Linked DNA regions of Drosophila melanogaster. The protein of the gene in region 1 interacts with the protein of each later gene in a pairwise test. Each region holds a gene or a part of one and is shown on either strand. Other genes may lie near its edges.

Region 1 (5,332 bases):
CTGCTGGGGAAATGGAGGGTTTTGCTCATAAAAAAACAAAGACCCGATTGTTCCGCAGCAAATTGGGCAGGCATTAAATTGCATATGATCACGGAGAGCTAAGTAACTTTTCCTCCTTTGAAAATTTCTTTTCTTTTTCTTCCGCAAACCTCATTTGAATGAGGTTTGTGCTCCCCCTTTACTTTTCTCCATGTGTTTTTATTTTTTTTGCGAAACGAGTCTTTGGGGTAATTAAAAGTTCATTGTCGTCGACGGCCTTCCCAACTTGTTGTGGAAATTATTTTGCAATGTCTGCCCAAAAGCGCAGCTTCCATGAATAAAAAAGAAGGAAAAATAAAAGCGAGCCTCCACACGACTTCCCCATCGTTTAGGTCTTTTTTTCTTTGGATCTTTTGCAGAGGCGAGAGATTTTCCCACATGAAAAACGATGACAAAATGTGCAGGAGGCACACATCGTCATCGTCATTTAGCCGGTGAGTGAAAGTTGCTGATGACCAACATGGACATGTGGATGTGGATGTGGATGTGAATATGGTTGTGGTTGTGTATATCGATATGGTTGTGAATCCATGGCCAATGCCTTCACGACAATCTGCCGTAATTGAACTTGAAGCTGCCACCAGGAAGCAGACTTCAGCCGCCAGACTTTGGATGTGCAGGTGCAGCATCCCAAGTCCCAAATCCCAATCCCAATCCCAGTCCGAATCTCAATCTTAGCCAGAAGAAGATGATAATCGTTGGCGCGACGTCAGTCACGACATTTGCGCAATCGACTTGGGCCAGGCCAACTGGTTTTTCTCTTATTTTACTGGATTTTGATTGGTTTTATGATATTTTTTATTTTCATTTTTTTGCTGCCAGACGAGGGAGCGCCTTAGGTGGTGGGTGTCCGCAGACCTTATCACAAAAAAAAAAACTGCCAAAAAAGCTGGCGCATTTTAATGGATCATAATGCGATTACAGTTACGCAGATACGACGATAACGCATTCACATTCATAAACAACAAAAATACAGCGAAGCGAAACAAAGGCTTCTAAAAAAAAAGAATGCGATTCTACGCGAAATTGCTGTGGTGCAAAAGTTCACCATGCCTAAATGTACCAAGTTTTTATATGATTATTTTTTACTACAATACAACCACTATCTTCTTATCAACAAGTTATGGATTTAGATAACTCTTTTCGCTGAGTGCAATCCTAACTGTTTGTTTCACCGGTTTTTTTTTTTTTTTAACTCCAAAAGAAACAAAAGAAAGCTCCGTCGACCTTCAAATCATGCAATTGCTGTAGAAAAAGGGCGCTCGAGGTGTGGAAATGATGTTTGATCTAGATAGCATGTAGAAATTAAGTTGGGAAATTTCTCGGTAAATGTAGGTGTGTGTGTTTTTCTCTTTGACACAAGTAGAGATAAAAAAAATGCAAAGCAATTGCGGCTTAATTCGAAAGTCAGCAAACATATAGAGAAACTAAATCGAAAAAAAAGTATCTTAAGTAGTGAATTCATATCTCTAAATACAAAGTATTGATAATTTACTACTTTACTTAACCACAATTTTGCATATCTTGCAATACCACTTGCCGCAGTAGTTTTTTTTGTTTTTTTTTTTTACCATCTTGGCCAGATATTTCGCAGATAAATCGTTCGAGATAAACGGGTTGCACAGCACTTCGAATAAGTCGATCTATAAATTTCATCCCATGCCTATCAACATTGCCGTTTGACCCGCTTAACCTGCGTGTTTTGCATCGCACTAATTTATTCAAAAACTGTTCGACTTTCGTTCGCCAAAGCGAACGACGCACTCCTATTAAAAAAAAATAAAAAATTAAAATTTAAAAAAACCAACCAATTTGATTAGGTTATTTCGAGTGACCTCGACACCGTTATTCCGCTGATAAAGCCAAGGTAATTCGCTGCATGCGAAGCTTCGGAAGCTGTCAAAATTCTCAGTTCCAAGTCAATTGCCAGTCGGCACAAATGCAAATGCACTCGAAAAAAAACACCCCTAATAATAATGTTTTTTATATCGAAAATGATATTATAATTGCTTGTCTATAAATGTGGAAAGTTCTATATTTTCTGTTCATTAAACTTATAAAGTTATAGTAAGTTAAAACGAATATTTGTAACTTTCTTAAAGTTCAAAAGCAGTTTAAGGTAATAAGCCATCAAAGAACTAGTGAATGTATCTCAAATACTAAACATCAAAATGATTGAAGAAATCGTCAAAATTCCCCTAATTATCAACTTTGATTGCCAGTGCAATTCCACCAATCGATGGATCGGCACTTGGCGAGCTGCGAAATTTAAAAAAATCGGGTCAGGCCGAGAGATGCATGGTGCCAATTGGCCAATCGGTTTACAGATGGCCACACAGGTTAATTAACGATTTGGACCAATTAAGAAGATGTCGAGAGGGGGCGTTGGGCAATGGACAAATGAGGATAGGGAGAGAAATTGTGTTGGATAATTGTGCAATTTGGATTAGTTTTGAGTGCAGGATAGAGTGCGAGTATCACTGTGGATACGTGTGCAGTAGTTAGTCGGTAATTAGTGCCAAATCTCAAGCCAAACCGAACTGAACTCGATCGCAACTCACCCATGAATTATCGCGGAATTGTGACATATTTTGGCCAGCGGCGGGGGTTAGGATGCGGGTAGGATATTATGATGCGGTATTGTGAACTATATGTGTTTTTTTTATTTTTTTCAATTTAAATTTTATAATTGAAGTTTAAAGCATTTACTACTGGTCAGCCCGGCTGATTGTTTGCTTTCAGTTTCAGCTCGTCGCTTTTCCTTCGCGTATTTCGTTTGTGTAACTTTTATTTTACTTTTGTTTTTTTTTTTTTTTTGATTCGCGAATTTCACAGTTTTTGTTTAATTTATCTAACCAATTTGTTAGCACACACACACAACGACACTACGATACACTCACACACACGACGAGTCAGCTGAGCGTAACGCATGTGTTCGAGATACTTTTGTATCTTGTATCTGCGTTTTTTTTTCTTTTTTTTTTGGCTGCTTTCTGAGGCGTAACTGCCAGCACGATTACGTGCGACAATTGTAGCACTCGCCAGCAAAAGGCAGAGATGCACTACTCAAAAACGAAGCACTCCAGTTCAAGGCGAGCAAAGCGTTCGCAGGTAGAAAGAAAAAACAATAAAAAAAAATGTAATAAAAATATAAATAATAGTACACAGGTCGCCGAAGTTTTGGTGGAAAAACCGCGCTGGAAAAGCCGCATGCGCTCTCGTCGCTCTTCTACGAAACGGCGAACTAAACGAGTCGAGTCTGCGCCGCCAACTGAATCTGGCTTTTAGCTTTTGACTCCGACTCCGCGATCCACGCTACAACAAATCCCAATCCCAATGGCAATCGCAATCGCAAACGCCGCTCGCCGCTCTCCGTGAGCGGTGGCAATTGCAATCGCCGGTCGCTGGCGCTTTCTAAACGCTCTCCGCTCAACGCTGAACGCTCTTTGTGGAGCGGCACAGTGGGTACAGTGGGCTGATTTACTGACTTATGTGGCTAAAAAAAAAAACAACAAACCTGCAGGGAAATCTTCCACTCGGTGAATAGAATATGATAAAGAAAAATATGAAATGAAAATGCATAAAGAACATATATTCAACTGATTGAAGTCAGCTGACATTCAGACAATTTTAGATAAAAAGATTTAATTTTTAAAAATTTATTTATTGTTAAAAAAAAGTTGCAGCCAATTGGACAAGCTTTGTGTACGTTTTAAAGCTCGTTTAAGCTTGGCTTACGATGACTTCAAAGTTATGGAATGCAGATGCATAAATTTGCATCTTTCGAACTTACCCTTATGACTTATTTCGATTTCCGTCTAAATGCTGTGATTACAATATTCTAATAACTTATTTAGTTACCTTACAAGCCGTGACTCATCTGAATTTGACTTTACTTGTAGGTGAGAAAGCCCAAAACTATGCCATAAAAGAAAAACGCAATGTTGTTGAGTTTGAAATACCAAAAAAAATTTTTATTTTCCCTTAGGAGAGAGTCAGAAAATTCATATTATAAGCAATTTTGTGGATGATTTCGATCGTTTGTCCAAATATTGTTGGGATTCGCTAGCGTAAAGTGTTATTGATATTTTTTTTTTTTTTACAATTCTTTGAAAGTTGCACTTGGATTTTAAACAGAAACTCGTAGCTGAGCGTTTGGGGTTCGTTTTTTGCGGTTCCGAAAATTACAATTTTGTTTGAGAGCTTAACAGGATAGACTATGGCTTAAAGGATCGATGCGAATGAGTCTATATAACTATTGTACATCTATTTAATATTCGTGGGTGTGTGTGTGTATCTGTGGTTTTCGGGTTTCTAAGTATATAACATACGAATGCTGCATAGCCAATCCAGATGCTAAACGTTCTCGACTTTCCCACACAATTGCCACAAGCGAATACAGTTTTTTTTTTTCGTCGGTATTTCTCATCCGATGTAGCTCGAAAAATTAATATTAAATTTGTAATTATTATCCCAGAAATTGGAGATTCTCTTATTTAATTCTGTTTTTTTTTTTTTGATTTTCCGTTAGGTTTGCTAAATGCTATTTCAATTTCTCTTTTCGTTTGTCTTAAGTAAAATTGAATCAAATTCCTCAGTGCTTGCAGTGCATATCGTACTTAGTAATTCATGTTGTCTATGCTTAGTGACTAATTCAAAAAAAGTAGATATATATATATATATATATATATATATTAAATAGGCATATACATACAGTGATGGGGATGGTTATCAATAGTGTGCTTTTTCTTACATCTATAAATATAGTTTATAGGATCTGTGAGTGTTTGTAATTCGGTATATGTATGTACACTTTACAGTTAAGCAGTTTAGAACTCTTCGATAGAAATACTTTCAGACTTGCGTAAGTTAATAATTAAATGTATGTATGTATATATATATGTATGTATATATAGTGTATATCCAGGTGGAAGGGAGAATCCAAAGTCGTTGTCTGTTCAAAGTTTCGATTTGGGCGAGGATTGAATTAAAACGCGGGGTTTTGCGGGAGTCGATAGAAAATTGCACAGAATTTGTGTATTTACAGGGTTGTCGGTGTAAATAAATAGATTACTTTTACACATTTATGCCGCTTTATTACTTTATCAATATATGTATATATATATGTGTATATAGTATGCTTACTATCGTACAGTTAGGCATTGTTTTTAGGTATATCGTTCCTCCATCCATTTCTGTATCTTGACCTTTACAATTTTGGTTTGCCTTACTTGCTAGGATTTCATAAGACTTGCGTTTCATTTTTCCATATTTTGTTCAAAAGTTGCACTTA
Region 2 (4,864 bases), on another chromosome or scaffold:
AGCTGAGCGAGGATCTGCACGACATCTTTGTGAACAGCCAGTTGGTAAAGTTGCAGAAGCTGCATCTGGAGCAGAACGAGATCACGCACTTCAAGGATCGCAATGTCTTCTGCGACCTGCCCTCGCTGCGTGACCTCCATTTGGGCGACAACGATCTGCGGGACCTCAACTTCGAGGTGCGCTGCCTGAACAATCTTCGCTTCCTCGACCTGGAGCGCAATAAGTTCAGCTTCGTGAAGCCAACCGATCTTCGGGTGCTCAATGAACTGGAGGAGCGCCCCAACCGCACGGCCAACTTGATCGTAGACTTTAACCTCAATCCCTTCGGCTGCGACTGCCGCACCGCTCCGTTCCGCGCGTGGATAACCACCACCCGGGTGACGGTGCGCAACAAGGACAGCTTGATGTGCTTCCATTCGACGGGACATGTGGACGCCGAGCCCGCTCACCTCCTGCAGATGGATATGGGTCAGTGTGCGGACGCCATCGCCGCCGCTGCCACAATACTAAACACCGCAGAGGATGAGCCGCACTACGGCGACCCGGAGGCGTCTCATCTCCAACCTCAGGCCCATATCAGCGGTCACACGGCCACTCTGATCTTCCTGCTGATCGTACTCACCATGATCCTGCTGGGACTTCTGGTGGCACTTGTCTACGTCAGTAGAGACAAGTTGAAATACATGATAACGCCGGTTTTCGACAATGTGGCCAAGAAGGTGCAGTACACATCGATCAAGGACGAAGACTGCCCGGAGGTGCACGTTTAGGAGCTTCACTTCACCAACAGAATCAACACAAAAAGAGAGAAGGAGAGGAATAAAGCTCGGTTTTCACTTTTCATTTCAAACAGAAAGCCATTCGATTCCCTGAAATTGTATCAAGGCCAAAAAAGTTCCTGCAATTTCCAAAGGATATAACATAAAAGATTCTTCGATTGAATTTGTGAAGAATTCTTTCTTACTTTCTATTCCTGTAGAACACTATTTGTTTGAAATTGAATTCGAAACCGGGCCAATATCCTCAGATTAGTTTTTGCCATTAGCGTTTCGCAAAACGTGTGCCATTCACAATGGAAGAGGATGAGATGGAGGAAACAATAGGATCACACTGAAGTCCCAACCAGAATCAGAACATCAGCCTTTGTTTCGTAGTACTTAAGCCAATTGTTGCATTTAACAGCGGATGGAATGTGGCCACTTAAATTACTGCAACAAAACCACATTACACAGACAAGAACACAATTTCTTTAGATTTAGCGGTTTTCTATCTTAACTTTAAGTCAGTTATGGGTTCTATGATTTCAAAGCAAAGAAATCGTACGAAAGGAGAAGGCAAAGCGGGCCTGTATCAACCGATTTGACCACACATATATAGTGACATATATATATATAGAAACAGACACATATATATACATGCATATATCGTAACAAACACTTTAGTGTTATCTGTGATTTAAGTTTAGTAGCTTTACTTTGTTGAAACTCTGCAGAAAGAACATTTTAAATCGAAATTGGTCTAAAACAAACTTCAATTCTTTTTATAGCATTACAGATAATTCTACACTCAATGAAACTGTTTCGATGCTTAATATGTTATTAATCAATTAATTTGTCAATTATACTAGCTGTACGATAATTTCTCCCTTGATTAACTACCAATAACAAGCATTTTTTATAAATAAACATTTGAAAAATGAAATGAAATGCGTTTTAAATTTATTTGTGTGGGTTTCATTGGACTTGCAACCATATCCTAATAATTTGAATATATTTTTTAAAAACTTATTTGCAACTTATTCGCGGTTATGTTAAAATGATAATTTGAATTCGATTTATTTTCGATATAAGTTGGTAGTCGATTGGACCGATTTTTCGTGCGTGATTTGAATGGTATCCCTGGTCCTAGACTATCGATAACAGTGCAAACAGTGTTTTGGGTCACCTACAATTTTATAAACAATCCGCAGCTTAATTTGTAAGTTACAGCTTAATTGCCGAATTCTAAGATGTATTCAAAGTGGTTGTCAAATTAAAGAACCCTTTTATTTTGAGTATCTGGTTAATTGTCATTTTGTATTCAAGGTCAACTAGAAATGATCGTGGAATTAAAGCTCGTTTGGGTCGTTATCAATCTGTTTAAAATTGTGAAATCTGTAATTCGAACAGAAAGTTGATAATGATTTTTGTTTCCTGCAGCTAATTTTGGGTGAATTTCAGATCAAACATATTTATATGTTGCGGCATTAACTTTAGACGCTCTTGTTTATTTGCATATTTCAGTTTGCATGTGTGCGTGAGCGCTTTAAAACAAAATCGTGTCGCATATAGATATTCCGCTAGTCTAATCACAATTCAGTGCCATTATGCAACGTCACCGCGTAGTGCAGGCCTCCAGCATTTAACTCAACAATTGCATTTAAAAGTAAACCAGTGATATAGTTTATTGTTACATTTGAGATCAGACATCAGACCCGCAGAGACGACAGGCAAAGTGCGTGCTTATCGCGCAATAAACAATCCAGACACGCGGTGATAAGGCGAAAGGGAGCGATCATTCACTAAAGTCACCTTTTTACAGATGCTACGCAGCTGTCAGTTAACCCTCTCCGCCGCTAAGAGGAGCCTTCGCGAGCAGTTCCAGTTGCAAGCCCTTCGTCACCAGCAGACTGCCATTAAAATGGAGAAATTCGATCTGCCCAAGCGATTGCAGGGTAGCACGCCCAGCGTCTGGAACGAGTACATTGCCCTGGCCATGCAATATAAGCCCCTGAACTTGGGACAGGGATTTCCCGATGATGCCGCTCCCGAGTACGTGACCCACTCGTTGGCCGACATTGCCAAGGAGCAGAATCCTCTTCTGCATCAGTACACTCGCGGTTACGGTCACGTTCGCCTGGTCAATGCGCTATCCAAGCTCTATAGCGGTCTCGTCGGCAAGGAGCTAAATCCCCTCAGCGACATACTGATTACCTCAGGCGCCTATGAGGCTCTCTACTCCACCATCATGGGCCATGTGGACGTGGGCGACGAGGTGATCATTATTGAACCATTCTTTGATTGCTACGAGCCTATGGTCAAGATGGCCGGTGGAGTGCCCCGCTTTGTTCCCCTAAAATTGGTAAGAACCACAATAGAAAAAAAAAATATATCCCTCTTTTTAACATGTCTAACTTCTAGCGCAAGACAGAGGGACCAATAAGCTCTGCCGATTGGGTGCTAGATGACGCTGAGTTCGAGAGTCTGTTCAACTCTAAAACAAAGATGATTATCCTAAACACGCCCCACAACCCTATTGGAAAGGTCTTCAACCGGAAAGAGCTAGAGAGGATAGCCGAGCTCTGCCGCAAGTGGAATGTGCTGTGCGTCTCGGACGAGGTGTATGAGTGGTTGGTGTTCGACGGAGCCGAGCACATCCGTATCTGCACGCTGCCGGGCATGTGGGATCGCACCATTACTCTGGGATCAGCGGGCAAGACCTTCTCAGTAACTGGTTGGAAAATAGGCTGGGCCTACGGACCCGCTGAACTGATTCGAAACCTGCAGATGGTGCATCAGAACTCTGTGTACACCTGTCCAACGCCGCTCCAGGAGGGCGTCGCACGCAGTTTCGAGGTAGAACTGGCCCGTTTGGGTCAGCCGGAGAGCTACTTCCTTAGCCTGCCGCGCGAGCTGAAGCAGAAGCGTGACTTCATGGCCAAGTTCCTGTCCGAATCCGGTATGCGTCCCACCATTCCTGAGGGTGGCTACTTTATGCTGGCAGACTGGTCACCACTGGCGGGCAAGATTGATCTAAGCTCTGAGCCAGACAAGCATCGGGATTACAAGTTTACCAAGTGGATGACCAAGAACATGGGCTTGCAGGGCATACCGCCAAGTGCCTTCTACAGCGAACCCAACAAACATCTGGGGGAGGACTTTGTGCGCTACTGCTTCATCAAGAAGCAAGAGAACCTGGATAAGGCGGCCGAACTGCTGTCCAAATGGAAATAGTCGCCGGACAATAAACGAATTGCTATCAGCCGCTTTGTTTATCTCTGCCCGAATGCAGTTCCCTAACCTGGGTGTTACGTAACCAACAGGGAAAACAACCTTGTGCTGGTGTGGTAGCCTTACTGCAATCTCCATTTATTAGCAATCCAACAACATGTTCATCCGCACCATACATTGGATAGTAGGTAGCTAGTGTCGCTGTAACGTGTATATTGTGTTCTGTGTTTTTAAACTAGTGTTCTCCGCTTAGGCATCGTACACGGACTTCAGGGCCAATTCGGGCTTGTCGTAGCCCAGTTCCTCGATGGTTGGGATGCCCAGCTCCTGCAGTGTGGGGGTGATCTTCTCCAGCAAGTAGGGATAGAGGGTGGCCTTTTGGTCGCCGCACTTGTCCTTGCATCCCTCCAGCCACCTGATGGCCAGTGCAATGTCGTTGACGCGACGGCTGGCACGCAGACCGGCCTCGATGATCTTGGGGCTGGGCACCAGATCCATGCCCAGCAGATCGTTCATGCCCTTGCGGATCTCCCAGCCATCGATGCCCTCACGGCTGAAGTACTTCTCGTAGCGCTTGTCGAACTCCTCCGCCGATTCCTCGGTTCCGTGCAGACAGCGCACGGCGGCCACGCGCGACGATGTGCCGACGAGGCTGCTGCGGAGGGCGCTTGCCAGGTTACGGGCCGTGATGCTCAACATGCTGCCGTTAAAAACAGTAAAATGCTTGTTAATTGCAAAAATTTGGTTAAGTAACAGCTCGACTCACTTTTCTTGTTCTTGCTACTTTTCACACGGGTATGACAGATCTGAGTGATGGTTGGCAACACTGGCTTTTCCAGGGATGGACACGTTTATAACTGTCGCTGTCACGGAAC

The links. The genes of interacting proteins can lie anywhere in the genome.
Region 2: the proteins of Nost (region 1) and Kyat interact in a two-hybrid assay, tested with the Drosophila melanogaster proteins (one study listed by BioGRID).

The regions. Positions count from the first base shown.
Region 1 is NC_004354.4:9,028,165-9,033,496, reverse strand, and holds the start of Nost (nostrin), read right to left. Parts: upstream 3,293-5,332; 5' UTR 2,628-3,292; coding exon 2,601-2,627; intron 1-2,600.
Region 2 is NT_033777.3:11,819,536-11,824,399, reverse strand, and holds Kyat (kynurenine aminotransferase), read left to right. Parts: upstream 1-1,906; 5' UTR 1,907-1,977; intron 1,978-1,979; exon of another isoform or gene 1,980-2,053; intron 2,054-2,158; exon of another isoform or gene 2,159-2,208; intron 2,209-2,282; exon of another isoform or gene 2,283-2,580; coding exon 2,581-3,120; intron 3,121-3,179; coding exon 3,180-3,992; 3' UTR 3,993-4,019; downstream 4,020-4,864. Other genes in the region: CG6959 (uncharacterized protein), read left to right, coding at 1-770; COX5A (cytochrome c oxidase subunit 5A), read right to left, coding at 4,239-4,688.